2 linked regions of the Tamandua tetradactyla genome follow. The protein of the gene in region 2 interacts with the protein of the main gene of each other region in a pairwise test. Links are inferred from orthologs where the notes say so. Each region holds a gene or a part of one and is shown on either strand. Other genes may lie near its edges. The genes, in order: USF1 and FOSL1.

Region 1 (11,216 bases), on a different chromosome or scaffold from region 2:
CGCAATTGAGCTCGTAGCAGCAGGTTCTTGTTTTTAAGATCTTCCACCTGACACAGGAAGGAGACAGTAAAGGAAATGTATAGAAAAACTGGCACAGTCAAGCCCATGAACTTATTCAGACATTCACTGGTTAAGGGAAAGTGGTGAAGCCCTCTCTAGAGAACCAAGTAAGGAGCTCCAAACTGGGTCAGTGGCTATGGGGGAAGAGGAAGGGCTATATTGAGGGTAGGGGTCTGACCTGCTGTCGAAGCACATCATTGTCCAGCTGCAGCTGGTCGAGCCCCTGCAGTTCCTCAGACAACCGGTGGTTACTCTGTCTAAGCTCCTGGATATAATCACATGCTTTGGACAGAATTCCACCTTTACTCTGCAAGAAAAAGCCACCAAAATGAGGACTAGGATTTACGATCCCTGGCTTGCCTTTCAAAAGCACTTTCACATGTTAGACCTCATTTTCCCTTAAGGATGGTGGTTTGACATCTCTCAGGGACACAGGAGCCTCAGCCAGAGATAAGAAAAGACCACTACCATGTATGCCCCACTCGCTACCACTTCTGGAAATATCAGGAGACACAATTCAGGCATCCTGCCCACTACTAGGGTTTCCATGACCTGGCCAGACTTGGTGCTCTCCATGGAGCAGTCTGGAATGATTTTGGAGAGCTGCACAATCCAGTTGTTGATCTTGTCTCGGCGGCGGCGCTCCACTATGGGGAAAGAGGAGGAGATAGCAGGGTGAGAACCTGCCACAGGCCCCAGGGTGTAAAACTACCCAACTCCCTTCCACCCTCAAACCACTGTCCCTAATCCCACCAGTCAGATTCAGGGTACAGCTGCCTATTAGGTCAACATACCTTCATTGTGCTGAGCCCTGCGCTTCTCATCCCGAGTCGTGCGGGGAGCTTCTGATTTCCTGACAACAGAAGCCAGGGAGGCCAGAGTAAGGCAAGGAGAAAATATAAGATGGGAGTTTGAAGTAAAGGATTATATGAGACTTGTCAGGAATCAAGACTACTCATGGTAATTGGGGAAAAGGGGTTACTCACGGGGAATAAGGGTGAGTCCTAGGGGCAATGGAGCGCTGGCTGCCTCCCTGCAACACTTCTTGTGGTGACATCATCACAAAGAATTGACCTATGAACATGCAGGTTAGGTTCTGTAAGGTCATGGAACTAGGAACCCCACCAAGCTCTGAAACCAAGGTCCAGGGAACCTCCTCTAAACAAACATGCTTTCTTCTGCTGAAAGGAAGACCCACTGCCTGCCCAGGCCTTAGTGAACACCTACGCGGACATGAGTAAAGGCCCACTGCCACCAGGAATGTCCCACAACCTGACCTAACCCCTATAGCCAGTGTTTGCATATGATATCTCACCAGTGCCAGGAGGAGTTGCCTGCCCCAGTAATGCCTCTGAGCCCTGGGTAGTAACAACAGCAGCTGTACTCCCTGATGTGGTGCCCCCTGCCCCATCTCCCACTGCAGTACTGGGGAAGTAAGTATAGTGTGTCTCAGCTGCTGTCCCCTCTGTGTCAACTGCATCATCACTGGTGAATGCGCCCTGGATCACTGCCTGGGAAGGAAAGCAAAAGGACAGAGTTGAGTGATAGTCAGACACAGCTTCCCACCATACCACTCTGCAGCTTCCATCCCTTATTGGAGAGTAGAAGGATATCCAGAAAGGAAGAGCCTAATGTCTAAGGATAAGGGAGTCCCAGATGCCACACCCTCTCTAGCTTCACCTCCCATTCTATTGGTTCCCATCTTCATCTTACTGTTCAGAACTCTAGTCCCTGTCCCAGCCCAGACTCCTGTACCTGGGTCATGGATTGAGTGGCAGGATAGCCACTGATGGCACCAGTGCCCTCAGTCTGGCCATCCAGCTGCCCCTCAGACACCTGGATCACCCTGTACATCACCTAAAGTGTGGAGAAAAGAGGGACGAGGGGGAGAGAGAAGAAAAAAGTAAGTGCTGGGGAATCCAGGGCCCCTCATTGAACTTCCATTGGATAAGGCCCCAAAACAAGAGTTCTTCTGAGACACAGATTCAGCCTTTCCCCCCTTTCTGCCGTATAGACGTCCCAACATAACCCCAAGCCACAACAATCTTTACTCTATGCCTTATCCACCCCCAAACAGTTCACATCTTTGCCTCATCCTCCAAGCCAAGTTTCCCCTAAGACATGTTCAATTACCTCCCTCAATCCCAACCCCAGTTCACACCTGCAGCCACCTGGCCCCCTCCCTTACCTGGCCCCCATTCTCAGTTCGGAAGACGTACTTGACGTTGGGGTCAGGGAAGGTGGCAGCTGACTGGATGCTGGCAATAGCCACACTGGTTGGGTCCTCCCCAGTTGCCACTGCACCTGAATTAAAAGAGCAAAAGAAAGGTTTATGAGCTACTGCCCTTATCCCTCTGTTCCACATGCATGTCATTTAGAAGGAGGAGAGTGCACAAGAGATGGGCCACGGGGGAGGCCATGATATGCTCTCAAATCTGTTGTTACCACTCACCTTCCTGAATCTGCACTGTCCCCTCTTCTGTTTCAGCTGTTTTCTGCTGCCTATTTGTGAATAAGGGACAAAAGGAGGGATGAGGAAAGAAATGAATGGGAAGCTCACTGATCCAGTAACATATGGCTCCCAAACTCAGTGGCATTCCCAACAGATGCTAGATTAGATTGGAATAACAACAGCTAATACTTACTGAGTGTTTAATATGGACCCAGGCACTGAGCTAAGCACTTAACATGCACTATCTCATTTAATACTAGGAACACCCCTATGAGGTAGGCAGCACTACCTCCATTTTATACACGGAGAAACCAAATCACACAACTAGAAGTGATGGAGCTGGAACCTGAATCCAGGTGTGACTCCAGAGCAAATTCTCTTAGCCATATTACCATTCTCCCAAGCCACCTCCCTCCTGTACCAGTCTACTTCTTCTTGACTCACCCCTTCATCTCTCTGTGAGGGGGCACATCCGAGGACCTGGTCCTTCTCTTGAGGTCTTCGTATCTCCTGCCTCACAGCCCTGTGTGCTAAGTCCTGGGAGAAATCAGGGAGTTTGCAATGAGTCTAGGAAACTGAAAAGCACCCCTAGTTCTAGAACCTGGGCCCCATGAAAACACAGCCAAGAATATAATCCAATCAGTCTCTGCCATTTTGATACCTAGAATTGGGCTAAAGTGGGTGAAAAAGCCACTCTAAAAACGATGTGCTTTGCCCTCTATTATCACTCCAACTCTATCTGGAGAGGGGATAATTGGACTGGAAGACTGAGAAATAACATATCTGATTGGATTATTATAGTCATATGATCTGATATGACAGCAGCTTCATGGGGATTATGAAGACCCATGTTAGACCAACACCAGCAAAGACCACAGGGCCATGACACTGATGCTTCTTCCAGCTTCTCAGCCACATTCTGAATACCAAGAAATCTCTATTCTTGATTCTATGGAGGGGAAAACCAAAGCCCACTGCCACTGCAAACACATCGCTAACCACAAAGACCAGACTTGGCCCTCAGGCCCTATTTTGTTGACAGGGCTCTCGTTTGGGGATGTCCAGATTTATGTCACCTGTTAGAGACCCTAAAGCCCAAGTGCAGCCTCTTTAAGCCCCTGTGGTTTTATTCACCAAGGCTTCCTGCCAAACACATTTGCTAACATGTTGCCATGACAACTCCAAATCAACTGAGCCTCAATAAGAATGAGAAAATTCCAGGCTCAGGGTTCTGAAGGAGAAGAGACAGTGGGGGAAGAATCCATTCACAAGTTGTTTTAGCTTGCCAAGGCTACCATAACAAATACCACACACTGGTTGGCTTAAACAACAGGAATTTATTGTCTCACAGATTTGGAGCCTAAAAGTCTAAACTCAAGGTGTTGGCAGGATCAGGCTTTCTCTGAAGTCTGGAGCATCCTGGTGATAGTTTGCTGGTAATCCTTAACTCAGTCTCTGCCTCTGTCACGTGGCCATCTATCTCCTTCTGTCTCCTACTACTGACTGTGGCCAAACTTCCTCTGCTTATGAGGGTTCCAGTCATAATGGATAAGGCCCACCCTGATTCAATTTGGCCTCACCATAACTAATAACATCTTCGAATATCCTACTTACAAATGAGTTCACATCCACAGAACCAGGGATTAGGATTTGAACATCTCTTTGTGGGGGACATGATTCAGTCTATAACATAAGATGCCTGCCTTTGGACCTTGACAGTCAGAGGACAGGAAGAACAAAGGGTTGAGCAGACAGATACCTCCAGAGAGAATTAGCATCGTTTTACAAAGCAATAAAATAATCCCAACACAAAACAGGTAAGATTTTTATAAACTCTCTCTCCCTATGCTCCCCCAAACCCCAAACCCTAAACCCTTCCCTAGCCAAGGAAAATCTTCATTCTTGGATAAGCCTTGGAAAGCCCGTTCCAAAGAAAGTATTTTTTAAAAAAAGGAACTGAAAGTGAAACTGCCAGAGGAAGTAACACTGCAAGGAGATTCCAGTCCCTAAGGGGAAGTAGCAGTAGTGTTTCAGGACCACCTGCCTCTCCATCCTAAAAGCAAGGAAGAAATGCCCCTCCCGAGGCTTGCAGCGCTGACTGCAGAAGGAGGTAAAGAAAGAGAGAGCAAGGAATAGGGAGGCATCCCTATTATCCACAGCTGTCAGCCAGGTGTAGCACCTGAGGACACCGAGCAACGGGGTCAGGCTACTTAGTTGAATCTCAGTTGGACATCAGAAAAGTATTTATTGAGCCTTAGGGATGTGCGACACGGAAATTGGGATAGGATGTTGTAGCCTGCACACTCAGGCGAGGAGGGACCAGCCAGAGCCCTTGCTAAATCTGGACACAAAAGGGGAAAAAAAATGAAGTCCCGAAAGAAGACAGACGCCTAGACTTTGCCTGGGAATGCGACGTCTCCCTGCAGGCCCACCAACCGGCAGGCGCCGACGGAGCAGGGCACTAAGCCGGGAGCCCGCGCCTTGACCCCGCCAGCCCCGCCGCGCTCAGCCCGCGGTAGAGGGAGCAAAGGGCGCCAGCGGTTCGGGGACCCTCGGTGGCCCGGCGCCCCCTGCCGCGATCGACGGCCGAGGACCGCAGGAGGGCGGGGGCGAGCGCGCGCGGGGCGGGGAACGAGTTCGGCCCACTAAGGGGGTAGGAGATAAAGAATCAGGCGCGGCCCCCTCCCCCAAAACAAAGGCTCCCTCCACAGGAGTTCCCTAACCTAAAAAAACTAAAACAAATTAAAGCTGCTCAGCTCTGCCGGTTCATCACTCTCCAGACTCGCATCCGGTCCTGCACTCACCGGCCAAAGCCGCCTCAGCCGCTGCTTTTCCCGGACGGTGTTCTCCCCACCCCAGACCCGGGTAGCTCCATAGACAGCTGCTCATGCGCGTTCCCAACCCGCGGCCATATTGGTGAGGGGCGGAAGTGTCTCTCTCGACCCGCCCTGCCTGCTTATAGCCATGGAGCCGCCCCACTTCCGTTAGCCCCATCTTGATGCAGGTTGAGGAATGCCGAGGTGGTGGGGTATTGCTGGAGCGGAGGAGAACCAACTGCTGCTGTCCCAGTATAATGACAGTGGAGTTCCTAGTGGCTTTCAGCAGGAGAGCAGGAAGCGGAGAAAAATGACTAACTTGAACTGCCATTTTTGTGCTGGGCAGGGCTTTTTTAATCCCAGGAGAAAAGGGGTTGAGGGAGCCCAGGTTAACTCGGAAGGGACGTCAGCTGGAGGCGCCATCTTTAATAAGGGCTATGTGGGAGGCCATCTTGGACCGGGACATCTCTTTTAAGTGTTTTCTAGTGGAATTTAGGAAAGCTGTCGGATGTACTCCTTGCCATTAGCATCAACCGCACCTCACCCACAGACCCCAATCTTCGGTGTCTGTGGGAGGGATGTTAATTCCTATTCTCCCCAGTCAGGATCTACCCTTAATGGATTTGTAGTAATGTGGTACAATGAAAAGAACAGGCTGTGGGGCTCCACAACCCTGGGCCTCAAACCCACCCCCCGCCTGCCACGTCTTACCTCTGAGATCCTTGGCTGGCCTTTTAACTTAAGTGAGCCTTGGCCCCTTGCTCCCTTAAATGTAGGTATCAGTACTAACCTTACAGAATTGTTACATGAGTTAAATAAAATGAAGGACGTAGACTCTATGCACATAGAAGACCTATCCCAGTTTCTAGCACATATTGAAAATTATGTAAATGTCAGTTTCTCTTCCCCCTTTCCTGACCACTGTGAACCCAGCTCTAGTTTCTAGCCACAGATCCCCATGACAACAACTAAGGAAGAACACCCAAACAATAAAAAGAGATGTTTGCCCAAACATGAAAAGATGATACCTACAACCCAAGACTTTAATAAGCATAATGAAATACCACACTATTTATGTGTAAAAATACAACTTTTATTCCGAAACTTTGCATCTTACTAGAGTGAGACCTGTAGCCTCAGCCTGTTTGGAAAAGCAGTCCTAGAACCTGAGTGACTTCTATCCTGAGATAGGAGGAGGCTATTCCAAAGGGAAAAGGAGAGGCCAGAGAGATAGCTACAGGACCCTTCTTCCCAAAGGTGACTGAAGGCAGAGGGTGGTGGGGGGACCAGGAAGGGGTCAGTCCCCCCAACAAATTTTGAGGCATCCAAAGAGCTTCCTGACACATTCCTGGCAATCTGAAGCTCAGAAGGTCAGAATGTATCCAAGGATCCAATAACAGTCCAGGGCTGGGCATCTCTAGAAGTGTTTGTGTGAGGTAGGCTCTGACCTGGCCTTTTCTTCTCCCTTCCACCCTGGGCTTCCATAAAGGACATCACAGCCTCAGAGGAGGGCAGGAACATGGTTGAAATTCCCCTTCTACTCTTTACTTTGAGAAATCTCTATCTTAAGCTCTCAGCCCACCCTCTGTTCTCTTTGTCAATGACTGCTCTCTCTAGAAACAAGATTTCTTAGGAATCTCCTAAGAGATAAGTGCTTTCTATCTGAGACAAGCTCAGGTAAATCAATCAAGGCTGCAGCCTCCCAGAGTCAAAAAGAGAAGCTGGAGAGCCAAAGCCTATAGAGTTGGGTACTACAGCTGCTCAGGCTGCAGAAGAGACAGCTGTTCAGGGGGCCTGGAGATTCAAAACAACTGACTGGTCCCCTTTACCCAGTGCTTTGGTCCTAATCACAGTCCCTCACTTTTCCAGGGTCAGCATGTGTTTCGAATGCATACGATCGGCGCTGGGGGGGCATAAGGGAGTCAGGGGGCTGGAGTTCTGTGGGGGGCAGACTAAGTCGACTCCGGGGTCCAGATCCTTCTGTACCTTCAGGTTGGAGCTCCAGGCAGCTAAGGGGCCGAGGAGAATGGGCTGGGGTCATGCTACAGGGAAAGGTTCTGGGAATGAAGCTATAGTCCCCGCCCCCAGTATAGGTCTGGGTCCGCTGAACTCCCTGAGCCTCAGTTCTTTGGCGGTCCCGGGCCAGGGCCACAGCAGCATCAAAGGAAAGACTACCCCCATTCCTCCAGGAGGAGCGGGAGGCTCGAGACCCCCAAACTCTTTCCCCAGGAGTCCCATCAAGCCGGCCAGGCCTTGGACATGGGTTTGCAGGTGCCACATGGATCTTGCTACACAGTGCACTGGGTTTCTTGGCAAACTGTGGTTTGGGGGGCACCACAGGCACAGAGCGGACCTGTTGGACCTGAACGAGGGTGGAAGCCAGACGCATGCCCACACCACTGACTGAGTCAAGGGTACAGAGGCACAGATTGCAGCTGTCTGAACTGGGATGCCCCTCAGGTTCCATCTCTTCTGGCCGGGGTGGTTGTGGAGTTGCCTGTTCCCCCTCAGAGGCCTGAGCGTTGCCCTCTTTGTTACTGTCGACCTCCAAGCACTCTATGACTGACCCTTCAGGGAAAGAACCCTTTTCTATATGGTCACCTTCAGCTCTCTGGTCTCCCTCAGCTTCCCCATCTCCACTCTCCCGTTCCTTGCTCACTACCCCTGCTCCTCCTCCAGCTGCGTCTTCTGGGCTTCTGTCTTCACCATTTCCTTGATCTTCTATTGCCTCTTGACCCCCCTTCCCTCTCTGTCCTTTGACCTCATCCTCCCTGCCTCCCTCAGCCTCTTGTTCATGTATAACTTCCCAGCTCTCCTCAGCAACTTGGTGTTCCTGGGTCCCATGTTCTGGGTCCTGTTCAACTTCTGCCTGGACTTCCCCTCCTCCATCAGTCTCTTCCTCTCTCTCATTCTCTCTTTCCTTCTCCTTGTCTTTACCATGCTCCTCTCCTGATTCTTCCACACCTTTAGCCTCATTCTCAGCATCCATCTGACTTTTGGACTTCTCTCCCTTGGCCTCTGTCTCTTCCCCACTCCCATCTCTCAAACTGACCATCATGTCTTGGTCTCCCTTAGCCTCTGCTCCTTCCTCACCAGCCACTCCAGCCCCTTCCTCAGTCTGTGGACATCCCTCAGCCTCCTCCCTAACATCCCATCTGCTTCCAGGCTCAGACTCCTTGTCCTCCCCAACTTCCGTACACACCTGCTCTCCCTCAACCTGTCCTGGAGACCATCTTCTGCACCCTGCTGCCTCTTCTTCCAGATTCCCTGGACCCTCCCAGTTTGAGGATTTGGGTCCCATAAGGGGATCTAGGTCATCGTAGGCACTCAGGAAGACTTCCTCCCCACCTTCCTCCTCTGCATCAGGCCTGGGGCTAGCCAGGTCCAGGGAACAGCAGCTGGGAGCCAGAACAAACTGTCCCTCATCCAGAGACAGATCATCAAGGGGTGGTTCCACAGAGAACTCCTCCACCTGTAGACATGGTGTTGTAGCTCAGGACTGGGCGACCCTATCCACCCTCCAGATCCCATACCACCCCAAAACCCAGCACACCTCCATCTTACCTGAGGCCCAATTCCCAGGAGCTCCTCCAGGTAGCCCATCCCAGGATCGTCCTCCACAGGAGAGAAAGCTGCTCCTGCCGCTCCTGCCTTGGTCACCTCCCCATCCTCCACCCCCACCCACTCAGGATCTGAGCTGCTTGAGTCCTCTAGGAAGGAGAAGGAATCCTGCACCTCCTGGGACAGGGAGTCTTCCAGGGCAGGGGCCACTTCTGCTTGGCCAGAGTCAGCCAGGGAACCAGGGGCTGAACTTGCCTCTGACTTCTCATCTGTTGAGAGAGAGGTAGTCCCAGAAATCCAAAGGGCCAGGCCAGCCTTGACCCTTTCCACATGAGTCTTTCTAGCACTGATAGAGTATAGGCCCAGTGCTCCCAGCACAGACATTCCGCATAGCTGATCCTCTTAGATCAATATCCCTAACTCTTGGCTTGTAGCCTCCTTTTATTCAGCACCTGCCAGGTGCTAAGCACCATGCTATACATTTTACAATGCATATCTTGTTTTCCCCTCAAAACAACCCTATTATATAAGGTATTGTTCCCACATTATAAGCAGAGGAAACTGAGGCTCAGAGAGAATAAACTATTTTGTCCAAGGTCCCACATCCAATAAGTAGCAAAGCCAAAATTTGAACCCAAGTCTATTTAACACCACAGCTTATGACCTCAGTCACTAGGCTATGCTGCCTCAGTACTTCTCATTAATAACACTTCAGGAACAGGAGTCAGAGCAAAAATTAGATCCCAGTTCTACTACTTCCTACTTAGAGTGATAGCAAACTGCTAGACCTAAGTCTCAGGTTCCTCCACTGTAAAATAAGGGTAAGAACAATACCTAGGTCATAAGGTTATGAGAAAATTAAACAAGCTAACACCTACCAGGAGTTTAATATGGCACTTGGCACATAATTTGCCCTTGGTAGATGTTAGCTGTTATTATTCATATTATTAGTAGTACTATCACCTATTATATATTCCCACACCAGTACTTAGTAATCCCTGCTGCATATATCTGGCATAGACGCCCATTCCTGTATACAGCACTGACCTAAAGGTTGCCAGAGGTACTCTGTCAGTGGATTTCATACAGTCTGATGTAACTGGATTCCCCCCCCCCCGGGAGGCAATTGAAGACAAGCACCCCAAAGCCCAAGGACTAAAGCCTCTGCCCTTCCAAGGTGGATCCCTGCATCAGACCTGAACTTCAGCCTAGCGCTGTAACCCCTTTACCCAGTTCTAGTCCCCTTTCTCAGTCCTCACCTGGAGGACCAGGGCCTGGGCCTGGGCCTGAGCCAGAGGCCAGGCTTGGCCGGGGCTGTAGGGCGGGGCACTCAAGGCCGCGGGTGAGTCTGGCCAAGGAGACGTTGGAGATGATGTTCGGTGGCACACTGAGGATAGAGGTGATGTGTAGGGGAAGGTTGACATTGTAGGGGTCTGAGATGTGGACTCCGACACAGCGTTCTGCGCGGCTGCTGCCCCCGACCCGGGCTGTTGACCGCCCAGCTCGCGGTGTGCCTGGCTCAGAGTTTGTGCCACCCAGAGCTTCTGCCTCGAGCTCCTGCTCGCCCTCTGCTGCCTCCACAGAATCGTTTTCCAAGCTCTCAGTTAGCAGTGAGTTTGGCTGCGAGCTGCTGGGTCCTACCAGCCCCTCTGGCTCTGTGGAGGAGAGAGAGGTCCAGGTAGGCAATAGTCTTAGCTGCAAGAGGCCTAAACTTCTCAGGAAGGCTCTGAAGAGTGCTCCTTGAGAAGCAGGCAAGCCTGGAAGTCACCAGACCCAGCTCTCTCAGCCACTAGTGCAAACCTTCAGCAGCTAGAAAATCAGTTTATTCCACCTGCTTACCCAGGGAACGTCTTTCCCCTCCATGAAGATAAAGTCACTGACCTTTATTAACATACACATACACACACACATGCTGCTCCTTCATCCACATCATACTTTCACTTACTTCCATTGACAGTCATATGAATACACATAGATTAGACTATAAGTCACCACTATAAACCCAGCATCCAGTACAGTGACTGGTGTAGAACAGGCACTCATTAAATATTTTTAAAATTATTAAACATTATTGGCCTCATGTACAGACACACATACATAGGGATGCACACATTCTGGTCTCACCATAACACTGTTCTCTCGCAGACACATTCATAGGCATGCACCCAGATGCACCCAGACCCATGTCACTGATTATACAACACACGACATACACACACACACACGAGTACACACCTATACTCACCATCACTGGCCCCAGCTGCAGCACTCAGTGAGTCCATGCTCTTGGCTGGCCGCAGTGTCCCCTTATCGGACTTGTCCTCTGC
Region 2 (11,837 bases):
CAAGCCCGCCTCTGCCAGGAAGCCTTCTGCCACCCACCCCACCCAAGTGGAAAGAGCTCTTAATATAGGAAATGAATAAATGGGAAAGAGCTCCCATAATGCCTCCGGCATTCCATGGCTTCAGCCCCAGCACTTTTTTTTTTTTTAATATTTTTATTGATTGATAAACAACATACAAACACAAACATTCCATACATAGTTACAATCAGTGGCTCACAATAACATCACATAGTTGTATATTCATCACCATGATCATTTCTTAGGACATTTGCGTTGCTTGAGAAAAAGAAATAAAAAGAAAACAGGCAAAAAACTCAGACATACCATACCCCTTACCCCTCCCTCTCATTGACTGCTAGCATTTCCCTCTACCCAATTTATTTTAACATTTGTTCCCCCTATTATTTATTTATTTTTAATCCATATTTTTTTACTCATCTATCCATACTGTAGATAAAAGGAGCATCAGACACAAGGTTTTCACAATCACACAGTAACACTGTGAAAGCTACATCATTATACAATCATCTTCAAGAAACAAGGCTACTGGAACACCCTGGTCTTGGGGTTTGTTCATATGAAACTTAACCCCACAAAGAATAGGTCAAGTCTACTTAAAATTAGGCCTTAGAGTCACCCCCAAGAGAGCCTCTTTCGTTGCTCAGATGTGGCCTCTCTCTCCAGCCAACACAACAAGCAGTCTCACCACCCTCCCCCTGTCTACGTGGGACATGACTCCCAGGGTGCAGACCTTCCCAGCAACTTGGGACAGAAATCCTAGAATGAGCTGAGACTCAGCATCAAGGGATTGAGAAAACCTTCTCAATCAAAAGGGAAATGAGACAAAGTGTCAATGGCTGAGAGATTCCAGAGTTGAGAGGTTATCCTGGAGGTTATTCTTATGCATTAAGTAGATATCACCTTGTTAGTCAAGATATAATGGAGAGACTGGAGGGAATTACCTGAAAATGTGGAGCTGTGTTCCAGTAGCCATGTTTCTTGATGATGATTGAATAATGATATAGCTTTCACAATGTGACTCTGTGGTTGTGAAAACCTTGTGTCTGATGCTCCTTTTATCTACCTTGTCACAGACGAGTAGATAAGTAGAACATATGGAATAAAAATAAGGAATAGGGGGAACAAATGTTAAAATAAATTTAGTTTGAAATGCTAGTGATCAATGAAAGGGAGGGGTAAGGGGTATGGTATGTATAATCTTTTTTTTTTCTGTTTTCGTTTTATTTCTTTTTCTGTTGTCTTTTTATTTCTTTTTCTGAATTGATGCAAATGTTCTAAGAAATGATGAATATGCAGCTATGTGATGATACTGTGAATTATTGATTATATATGTAGAACGGAATGATTATATGTTAATGTTTTTGTTTGCTTGATGTTAAATTTTTTTTTAATTAATAAATAAATAAATTTTAAAAAGAGAAAAGAAACATGGCTACTGGAACACAACTCTACCTTTTCAGGCAGTTCCCTCCAGCTTCTCCAATACCTCTTAATCTAAATAGGTGATCTCTATATAATGCGTAAGAATAACCTCCAGGATAATTTCTCAACCCTGTTTGGAATCTCTCAGCCACTGACACTTTATTTTGTCTCATTTCACTCTTCCCCCTTTTGGTGGAGTAGGTTTTCTCAGTCCCTTGATGCTGAGTCTCAGCTCATACTAGGATTTCTGTCCCACGTTGCCGGGAAGGTCCACACCCCTGGGAGTCATGTCCCGCGTAGACAGGGGGGGAACAGCCCCAACACTTTCTACCTGGCACCTGGGCATCTGACCACCTCCCTGGGCTGTGAGCCCCTTGGGGCGAGGACCAAGTCCTGAATCATCCTTGCCTCCCCGCTATCTGGCTCAACCCACCGTTTCATTCAGCTAATTCAGGAGACAGGATAACGACACTGGGGCACAGCCATGCACTGGGATGCTGCAGCGCAATGAAACAGAATGAACTGCTGCACCCACAGCAGGGTGAATCTGACAAACACCATGCTGAGCGAGAAACCAGACACAGAAAAGTGCGTACTGTATGATTCCCACTGGCGTGGAATATTCTAGAAGAGGCAAAACTAATCTATCATATGGAGATGAGCTCAGTGATTCCCTGGGGTGGGGGTGGGGTGGGGGATAGACTGACTGCCAAAGGGGAGGAAAGAAGCTTCTGGGGGATGGAAATGTCCTGGGTCTTGATCGGATCAGTGGCTGCTCGGAGCACAATGAGCAAAACGCAAGGCCAGTATGTTTAGAAAGTGCAGATTTGGGGAATGCAAGGATGGTTCGGTGGTAGAATTCTCGCCTGCCATGCAGGAGACCTGGGTTCGAGTCCCAGCCCGTGCACTTACCCCCCCCCCCCAAAAAAAAGTCAATAAATGGTGTTGCAATAATGGAAGAGTCACATGGAAAAAGAATGAAATATGACTTCTACCATTTAAAAAAAAAGTACAGATTTTAGCTAATGTAAAATACACCCCCAATGTAAGATATTTAAAAGGGAAAGAGATCTATAGGTTATGCTCAGCAGAAAGATTTCCAAGATGTAAGAAAACAAAAAAAAACAAGGGGGAAAGTGTGTAGAACAGACTACCTTTTGGGCAAAAAGATATAAAAGAAACTGGGTACATCGTTTCCTTGAGCGGGGAAGCAGAAATGGGAGGGAATTAGCAGGGACATTCTCCTTGTAAACACTTCTGGAACGTGTGGACTTTGAAGTATGGGAACGTATGTATTACCTAGTGGAAGAAGCAATGCCATTAAAAATTTAAAGACATTAAAAATACAAATCATGTTTTGAAATTTGGATTCCTTTTCCTCCACGCGTCCTTTTTATGACCACTCAGTGGGAAAATATATACCCCCCCCCAAAAATGCAAACATTTAAAAAATTATTCTAGTCCCCATACAAAAAAAAAAAAAGATGTAATAGTGAGCATCATGCTAGGGGGCTGTACTGCAGGAAGGGTTTTGACTAGAACAGGGGCTCATGGAGGAAGCAGTGGGTAACTGCAGTGGAGAGAGTTGGCCTGGTGGAGGGGGGTGGGGAGGGCTCCCTGGGGCAGAGGGAGCAGACTGTGCAAAAGTGGAGGGGTCCTCAGTGGTAAAATGCCTGCCTTCCATGCGGGAGACCCAGCTTCGATTCCTGAACCATGCACCACCACAATCCCCCCAAAAAGGAAGGGGTCCACTGAATGAGCCTATGCTGGCGAGGCAGGAGCCCAGGTCCGCCATGTCTGGGAGGGCTTGAAATGCCAATGTTAGGGATACTGGTCCCTTTTGAGGGACACACTAACAAGGCTATGAGAAGCCCCGGCTCTGGAGACCCGGTACGTAGGTTCAAATCCTGGCTCCACCACTATCTCACTGTGTGGCTTTTAGCAGGTGACTTAACTTCTCTGTGCCTCCATTTCCTAATCTGTAAAATGGGTATAACCTTACTATCTACCTCACAGGGTTACCCCGAGGATTGAATAAATTACTTTGAACCATGCCTGGTTCATTGGAGCTCAACAGTGTCATCCCCGAGGCCCTCCAGCCCCTCCAATCAACACATCACCTAAGAGGGTGCATTACCCATCCGCCACCCCGCCCCTCCCCAGGCCTCAGCACCTCCCTGTAGCCTTGCTGAAGGTGCTACAGCTCAGAAGGGTCCAATACAGCGAGTGATGTGGACAGACTTTAAAAGATTCCTCTGGAAACATTTTCATGATTAAAAATGCATATATGCGGGGGTGCACAGGTGGTTCAGTAGTAGAATGTTCGCCTTTCATACGGGAGACCTGGGTTCGATTTCCAGACCATGCACCCTTCCCCCCCAAAAATACATATATCCTTCTGAAGTGATGCAAATGCTCTAAAAATGATAATGGTGATGACTACACAACTATGTGATGATATGGACCGTATGTGTGTGAATATTTGTCAATAAACAAAAAATACATATATCCTCCAGGTTGCAAAGTGGGAGACCTAAAGGAGGGTGCTGAGCTGCAGAATGGGAAAAAGTCCAGGAGAAAGAGAGAGGATGGGGCCAGCCCGTTGACCGGAATTAGAGTGGTACTTCCAGACATGAAGCAACCGGAATTCTTTACCCACGACTGGTGGGACGTAAAACAGTAAAGCCACTTTTTGGAGAACTGTTTGGCGGAATCGACTAAAGTGCCAAGCACACGCCTACCTCCACGACCCAGCAATTCCAGTCCTGCCTGGGCAAATGTCCGAGAGAAATGAATGCAAATGGCCACCAAAGAACACATTGAGAGTGTTCTCAGCAGCCTCATTCATCCTAGCCCCAAACTGGAAGCACCCCCAGTGTTGCCCGCTTTTGATACTTTGCGCACACTAGAATGCAATACAGCAACAGAAAAGAGCTACTGGTTCACTCAGCTCTGTGGACAAACCCCCCCCAGATGGGATGCATGAAAAGACACATACTCCCCTCCAAAGAATACACAAGATATGGCTCCATTTATATGAAGTTCAAGAGCTGGCAGATCTTATCTGTGATGGTAAAAGTCAGAAGAGTGGCTACCTGGGAAGGGACACAGGGAAGTGCCCTACATCATAATGCGAGTGGTAGTTGCACAGGTTTATCTATATGTCAAAAGACATTGAGCTAATGGGCATAGCCCAAGTGCCCCTAAAGGGTGGGAGAAAGATCAAAGGTGATGGTGGAGTTACACAGAGAAGGTAAGGTTTAACAAATGAGTATGAGTGCTGAATCATTATACTGATATTTCTTTTGGTCTCCAGTATCTTAGAGCAGCTAGAAGTAAAAACCTAAAACTGGAATTGTAACCCATACCAAACTCTGAAATTGGTTCTACAACTACTTGTTGCGCTGTATTTTGATATTTTTCACACACAAAAAAGGTCAATTGTGATGCTTAAAAAAAAAAAAAGCATTGAGCTGAACCCCTTAGGAGCGCACTTTCCAGCATGCATGTTAAGCTGCAACTTAAAAAGAACAAACAAACAAAAATGTAATGGAACTGAAAAAATAAGCATCCCCTCCAATGCTCTGGTGGCACTGATTGGGCACACTCATGTATCACACCATTTTACCTCACTGCAACCCCCAAAGCTGGGATTCTCTGGGGCCCAGAGAGGGGAAATGACTGGGCCAGGGTCCCATGGCTGCCAAGGGGCTAGTGCATGGTCTCTCAGGCCTCCTGGCGCCCCACGAGGCTCTCAGCAATCCTCATTGTGACCCCCTGGAGTTCTCTCCTGGCCTCCTGAAGTTGGAGCCGGTGAGGTCAGGGACCAAGAAGACTTCTGCAGCCACAAGGTGGGAGTTAGTGACTGAGGAGTTTGGAATGTGCTGCCTCTGAAAGGGCCTCCTTGTGACTGAGCCGACGGTTAGAGCAGGAAGGGACTTTCAGAGCCGTGTAATCACACACATGCATAACTTGGAAGAGATGGGGAAACAAACTCAGAGGGGCTAAGAGGCTTGCCCCATGTCAGGAGTGGGGCAAGCCCTTGCTCAGGTAGTTGCTTCTGAGGCAGGCAGGTGGATGTGGTCAAGACTGTCCTTGCAGGTGATGCCACCTGGCTTCCTGTGTCATCCCTCCCAATTTGAGCTGAGCCAAGGAGGCCAGATATCAACGTGTGTGAGTGCTTCCTGTTTCCAGAGTCCCAAGGTGCTCCCATCTCTGAGGCTTTTGAGTAGTATGTGGATTTATTTCCACTACTATTTGTTAAGTTCTTACTATGGGGCCAGGTGCTGTGCTTGGCATGGGACAGTACTTCTATGCCTCTACAACTCTGAGGTGTAGTTATCATTGTCTCCATTTTACAGATGAGGAAATGGAGGCTGAGAGATTGCATGCCTCAGCTACAGTCACACAGCTGATGAGCGGCCTGGCCAGAATTCAAACCCAGGACCCAGAATCATCTGATGCATGCACTTCTTCAATTACTATGGTTTCTTTTTGTTTTTCATTGAAGACAAGCCTTGATTAGGACAAGGGCGGGGGTAAGTAGGCTGCTAAGGACCTCCTGAGTAGATGGCACTTTACAGCTTCATTCCATTTATTCCTCATAGCAGCCCCATGAGCTCAGTGGAGAGTCCCAATTCTACCCACCGGGACTGGAGCTGAGAGGAAATGTGACCTGCCCAGGGTCACACACAGACAGAAAACAGTAGCTCTGGCCCTGAAGGGGCCAACCTGGGCTTCTGGCTAAGCCCTGACTGAGTCCACAGACCCCTCTGGCTTCTGTTCCCAAGGAAGGCAATCCTGGACCCTTCTTTTCTGTGGGCTAAACTGGAGCTGATCAAATGGCGGTACCAGTGGAAAAGCAGGAGAACCCAATCTTCTTTCTGTAGTTAAGCCCACTTGCAGCTCCTTGCCCTCTCTGGGCCTTGGTTTCTTATCTATAAAATGGGAGGGGGCAGGGAAGAAGCTTCCAGACAGGTCCCCCCCCCACCCCGTGCTGACATTTGGTGTGAGTGAAAAGATGTCTGTGAAGCTGTGAGGCTTTGAACAGTCTTGGCTGAGCCTGGCCTAGAGCTCCCACAGCCCCGGTTTGAGAACCCAGTTCTCATTTAGTGGGCAATTCATTTCAATATCTCCCAGCCTCAGTTTCCCCATCTGTGAAATGGGGATGATAATGGCACCCACCTCCCAGGGTTATTGGTCTTTGGTTGTTGACATTTGGCTCTTGGCTTCCCATTCACACATTCAAACAAGGCTGGTGACCACAAGGAACACAGATGGCATTTAAAGAAGACGCCGTTCATCAAACACCTACACCCATGTCCCACTGGAGGCTCCCACTGCCTGTAGGGACTCTGTACTAAAGCTTGTTATAGCTCCTGGAATTACCCTGTGAGTAGCACAATTATTATTGTATTGTATTTATGGGTCTTCAAAGTAGTATTTTATTCATTGCAATCCGTACCACCAATTTTGTAATCTGGTTTGTCCTTTATTCACTTTCTAGTATACCTGAAACTTTAAAACCATGCCAGTGGAGGGGCCTCACGCCACGCCTGGGAAGCTGTGGGTGGCACTGAGCAAGGTTCCTGGCTTGAAATAAGCACCCAGTAAATCATCACCATCACCCATCACATTTACAATTCACTTTACAGCTTCCAAACCGCTTTCACATTCATCTTTCCAAACTCCCACGCGTGGCAAGGTAGCTGTGAGATTATATCGTCCTATCTTACAGATGCAAAAACTGAGACCCGGCCAAACTAGGAGGATAGGGGCCGGGAACGCCGCGGCTGGCTTTCTGTCTGCACCCGCGGCGGGGCGGGGCCGGACGGGGCAGGGCGGGGCGGGGCGCGCGGCTCCTGGGCAGGTGCGTAATTCCGTGAGGGGAACCCTCGGCTCCACCTGGGCGCGGCGAGGAAATTGCACCATGTATGGGCAGCTACGTCAGAGGGGGGGAGGATACTTGCAGCACTCCCGGCCGGGAGACGCCGAAGCCACCCCCTCTCCCCAAGAAAAGGCAGCTACCGGACAGTAGGAGGTGTCGAAAAGCTCGGGGCGGACTGGCAAAAGGCTAGAGGCGGAGCCCCGAGGTGACCCGCGCCGCCGCGCACCCCCCGCCCCCCGGTCCAAGTGGTTCAGCCCAAGAACTTTTCATTCATAAAAAAGACTCCACTGGGGAGCGAGTGAGTCAGAACCGCAGCCGCCGACGCGGACCCCGCACAGCAGCCAGCCCAGGGCATGTTCCGAGACTTCGGGGAACCGGGACCGAGCTCCGGCGCGGGCGGCGCGTACGGCGGCCCCTCGCAGCCCCCCGCCGCGGCGCAGGCGGCCGCCCAGCAGGTAAGAGGGGTCCGACGCCCACTGGTGCTCGGGTGGACAGCGCCTGGGACGCCGGGGTGAGCTCGAGAGTGGCTCTGGGGACTGGGGTAGGGAGCCGGGTGGCAGGACCCTGCCCGTTCTCCGCCGTCGAGCGGCCACTTTTCCTCCACCGCCCAGGGGGGACGCGTGCCCCCCCAGCCACTTCCCGGGTCCCCTCCTCCTGCCCAGGGACCCAGGACGCCTGGGTTAGTTGTAGCCCCAGTAGGATCAGAGCGTGTCTCCATCTCGGGCTAAATTCCGGAATCTGGAGTCTGGGCTTGGGCACCGAGGGAGGCGGGGTCCTTGGGCTGACCGGTCCCGACAGAGTGGGACTCCTTGGCACTGTCTGTGTGTCGCTCCGTTTGTCTGTCCTTCCCTCCCCACCCCTCGCCAAGCCCCTGTCCCCTTCTCAGCGGTGGCCCGGGCAGCGGAGCCTGGTGGGCTTCCAGGGACGGGTTCTCAACCCCACGATCGGGCCACTGGAGCCCTGGAGGTGCCGGGACGTGCGCGGGGCCACGTTGCGGGCAACTCCCGCGTCCCCGACTCCTGGCACCGAACAGCGCCCGCTGCCGGCGGGGGGCAGCCAGGAGGCTGCAGGTGTCCATTTCCTGTCGAGGGGCTGCCAACACGTGTCGCCAGGGGAGGGAAAGAGCGGGCGTCCGTTGCGCCGAGTCACGGCCGCCGAGTCACGGAGGCTGACTCACCCGGGGCGCCCCTCCCTTCCTGGCCCGGAGCTGCCGGGCCCGGACAACCTCGGGAGCCGGAGATGCCGTCGGCGGTCTCTCAGGCCCGGAACTGGGGTCACCCGGCCGCTGGGACGGCAGCCTGCACCGGGGCCACCACTGTCCGGACTTGCCTGGGCCTGTAGGGCGCTTCCCGGACGACTAGGTGCCCACACCCAGGGCCCAGCCCCAGGGCTCAAACCCAATTCTCTCAGAACAATGGACCCAGCCCATTCCTCAGATGCAGGCTCCATGCTGGGTGCTTTCCACTTCAGTTACCGCATTTCATTGAATCTAAGATGCCCTTGATCTTAAAACCCACCATTATTTTATGCACGTTAAAGGGGGGTGGGGGTGTGAAACAAGCTAATATTTCAGCAATTAAAAGGTAATTCGTAACACCACTGAAGTGCTCTAATCCTCATTTTTACAGTGTCACGAATGAGGAAACTGAGGCACACTGATTTGCCCCAGTAAGCAACTGAGCTAGGATTAGAACTGGGACAGGTGGAATCCAGAGCAGTGGCCCTTGCCTACCACAAGCCTGTGCACGGGGCACCTCCCACTTTCCAGGCTGTCACCTAAATTCTCTCACCCGATTTTCACAGCCACCTGGGAGCTGGGAAGTGTGATCATCCTCTTTGGGCAGATGGCACTCAGGCAGGGTGCAGGAGTGGGGAAGGGCATAGACTCTGGAGCTGGGCCCCTTGGGGTTTAATTCCACTTTCCACTTCCTAGCTGTTTGTCTGTGGACATCTGCTCCCCTGTCTAAAAATGAAGATAATACTAGAGCTGCCACCTTAGGGCTGTTGTGCAAATTATGAGTTGGTATCTGTATGGTGGTTAGAATACTACCCGGCAGGTCACACTCTATAAGTATCAACTCTGATGGGAAAACAGAGGCACAGAGAGGTTAGGGTACCTGCCCAAAGTCACACAGCTCGTGAGCAGGGCTTTGCCACAGGTCAATCTCTTTCTGGTTTCCCAGTACCAGCAGTTACATTGGGGGTGGATGGCAGTGTGGCCCTATCCACTAGATGTCCCTTAATCCTTGGTCCTCCATTTCTTATCCCCCCAGAAGTTCCACCTTGTGCCAAGCCTCAACACTGTGAGTGGCAGTCAAGAGCTGCAGTGGATGGTGCAGCCTCACTTCGTGGGGCCCAGCAACTACCCCAGGCCCCTGGCCTACCCCCAGTACAGTCCCCCACAACCTCGACCAGGTGTCATCCGGGCCTTGGGGCCACCTCCAGGCATCCGGCGCCGGCCCTGTGAACAGGTAAGGGACAGTGGCGTTGCATTGGTCCTGATACCTACAGGCGTGCTATGGCAGGGAGGAAGAGCGCCTGTCTGAAAGGGTAGGGGTGGGGTGGGAGGAAGGCAGGACCACTGGCAACTATTGCTCAAAGCAGAAAGTGATCAGATGCCAAGGTCACTGCTGGAGCAGGGGAAAGTTTCCTGGAACAGGGGCATAACAGCTGAAAAATATGGGTAGGATTTGCACATGTAGAGATGAAGGAAAGGAAGTTCCAGGTAGACAGAATGGCAGGAGCAAGGAATGGAGGTGGAGGTGAGGATGTGCATGGGGAAAGGTGAATGGGCAGCGGAGGGCCTCTACCTGCCGACATGCATGGAAGGGTGAGCTTATGCCACCCACGGCTCTGTAAAGCTGGGGAGAGAACAGGAACAAGAGGCTCCCCTTCAGCTACTCTCTGAGTCTGTTTCCCTCTCATTTGATCCTCACAAAAACGCTCTGGGGATTGTATGCTGGTTCTCCTCCTTTTTACAGCTGAGGAAACCAAGGCACAGAAAGGTAGAGTCACTCAGGCAAGATCCCATAAGTGGTGAGCAATGAGACAGGTCTAACTCTAAAGTAGGCTGCTAACCACCAAAGCTGCACTGACAGGTGTCACCAGCAGGCTGGAAGCCAGGGACTCTGCCTCCCCTACCAGGTGCCCTCACCAAAATGAATAAATAAGCAATGTGGGTCTTAAAAGAGGTGCCTCCTCCTTCCTCTCCCTGGCGAGCTTTAGTACTTGACAACTGGGTGAGGCTTTGTTGTTTAAATGTTTTTCTAGGACAGTAGGGTAGCGAATGGGGAGGGAAGTTGGGTCCTGGGGAAGATGTGAGATGGACCAGCATGGGGTTTCCAGAATCAGAATGGCTGGCCTTTGTGACCAACTGGAGGATGGGAGAGCGGTGTGGGCCCCAGAGGCAGCCACCTCCTGGACTTTCAGCCCCCTGGGTTCTCCCCAGTGAGAGCTGTGAGGTGGGGGTTCTTTTGAGGGAGGTGGTCTCCAGCAGCTGGCCTCCTTGAAGAGCTAGTGGGTCCTAAATCCTGCTCCAGAACCTTGAACACATTTTTCATTCCCCCCTGGGCTTTAGTTCCTCACATGGCAAGTGGGGCTATGTATCCATAAAGCACTTGGCTGGCACATAGTAGGTTCCCAATAAACTGCAGTTTATTCAGTGGCCCTCACTAGCCCCTCCTAGTGCTCACAGCCCGTGGGAAAGAGGAGACTGGGTCATCAAGAGTTCAGAGATGGAGACAGATGAGGGTCCTGCGAAAAGAGGCGGCTTGGTCCCCAGGGCTCAGAGGGGGAGAGGCCACATCTGGCTGGGGAATAAGAGACTTCCTGGAGGCGGGGGCATCTTCGCCAAGTTCTGGGAGATGAGGAGGGTTAACATTCCGGGAAATGATAAGAGGCAAAGGCTGGGTGCTAGAAAGAAATTGGACCAATCCAGGCTGACGGGAGCTTGGGTGCTGGGAGTCAGTGGGCCGGGGTGCGGGGCTCTCTCAACCCGACTGACGCCCCCCCCCCCGCCCCCGCTGCCATGCCCTCCGCCAGGGTCCTACGGCGGGGCCGCCGTGGGGGAGTGCCGGGCACCCTGCGGCCCAGGACCCGCCTCACCGCCGACCCCCGGTCCCCCAGATCAGTCCTGAGGAGGAGGAGCGCCGCCGAGTGAGGCGCGAGCGGAACAAGCTAGCCGCCGCCAAGTGCCGGAACCGGAGGAAGGAACTGACCGACTTCCTGCAGGCGGTGAGCACCGACCCGGGCCCACCGAGGCTCGGCGGGTCCGGGGGCGCCCTAGGGTGCGCGGGGGGCCAGTGGTCTCCACTCTCTCTCCCCCACCTCCCGGCTGCCTGCCCGAGGGGGGGGAAGCCCTTCCAGGAAAAGGACGAGGAAACAGCGAGTTAAAACGAGTGGCAGCGCGCCTCACTCTGTAATCCAGGCAAATCGCCGGTCCTCCCCGACTCAATCCTTCTCGCGGAAGGAGGAAGGGGCACGGAAGACAGACGCCCCCAGGCCTTCT

The links.
Region 1: the proteins of FOSL1 (region 2) and USF1 interact in binary tests that used the Homo sapiens proteins (3 or more experiments, as listed by UniProt). The link is inferred for Tamandua tetradactyla from reciprocal best matches to the Homo sapiens genes FOSL1 and USF1.

Annotation. Positions count from the first base shown.
Region 1 is NC_135330.1:14,188,751-14,199,966, forward strand, and holds the start of USF1 (upstream stimulatory factor 1), read right to left. Parts: upstream 5,452-11,216; 5' UTR 5,317-5,451; intron 4,344-5,316; exon of another isoform or gene 3,589-4,343; intron 3,050-3,588; 5' UTR 2,965-3,049; coding exon 2,957-2,964; intron 2,563-2,956; coding exon 2,513-2,562; intron 2,365-2,512; coding exon 2,249-2,364; intron 1,918-2,248; coding exon 1,816-1,917; intron 1,572-1,815; coding exon 1,376-1,571; intron 1,135-1,375; coding exon 1,047-1,134; intron 914-1,046; coding exon 855-913; intron 708-854; coding exon 613-707; intron 368-612; coding exon 239-367; intron 48-238; coding exon 1-47. Other genes in the region: ARHGAP30 (rho GTPase-activating protein 30), read right to left, coding at 7,172-8,800, 8,893-9,158, 10,149-10,544, 11,135-11,212.
Region 2 is NC_135335.1:8,622,939-8,634,775, forward strand, and holds the start of FOSL1 (fos-related antigen 1), read left to right. Parts: upstream 1-7,452; 5' UTR 7,453-7,683; coding exon 7,684-7,785; intron 7,786-9,603; coding exon 9,604-9,801; intron 9,802-11,371; coding exon 11,372-11,563; intron 11,564-11,837.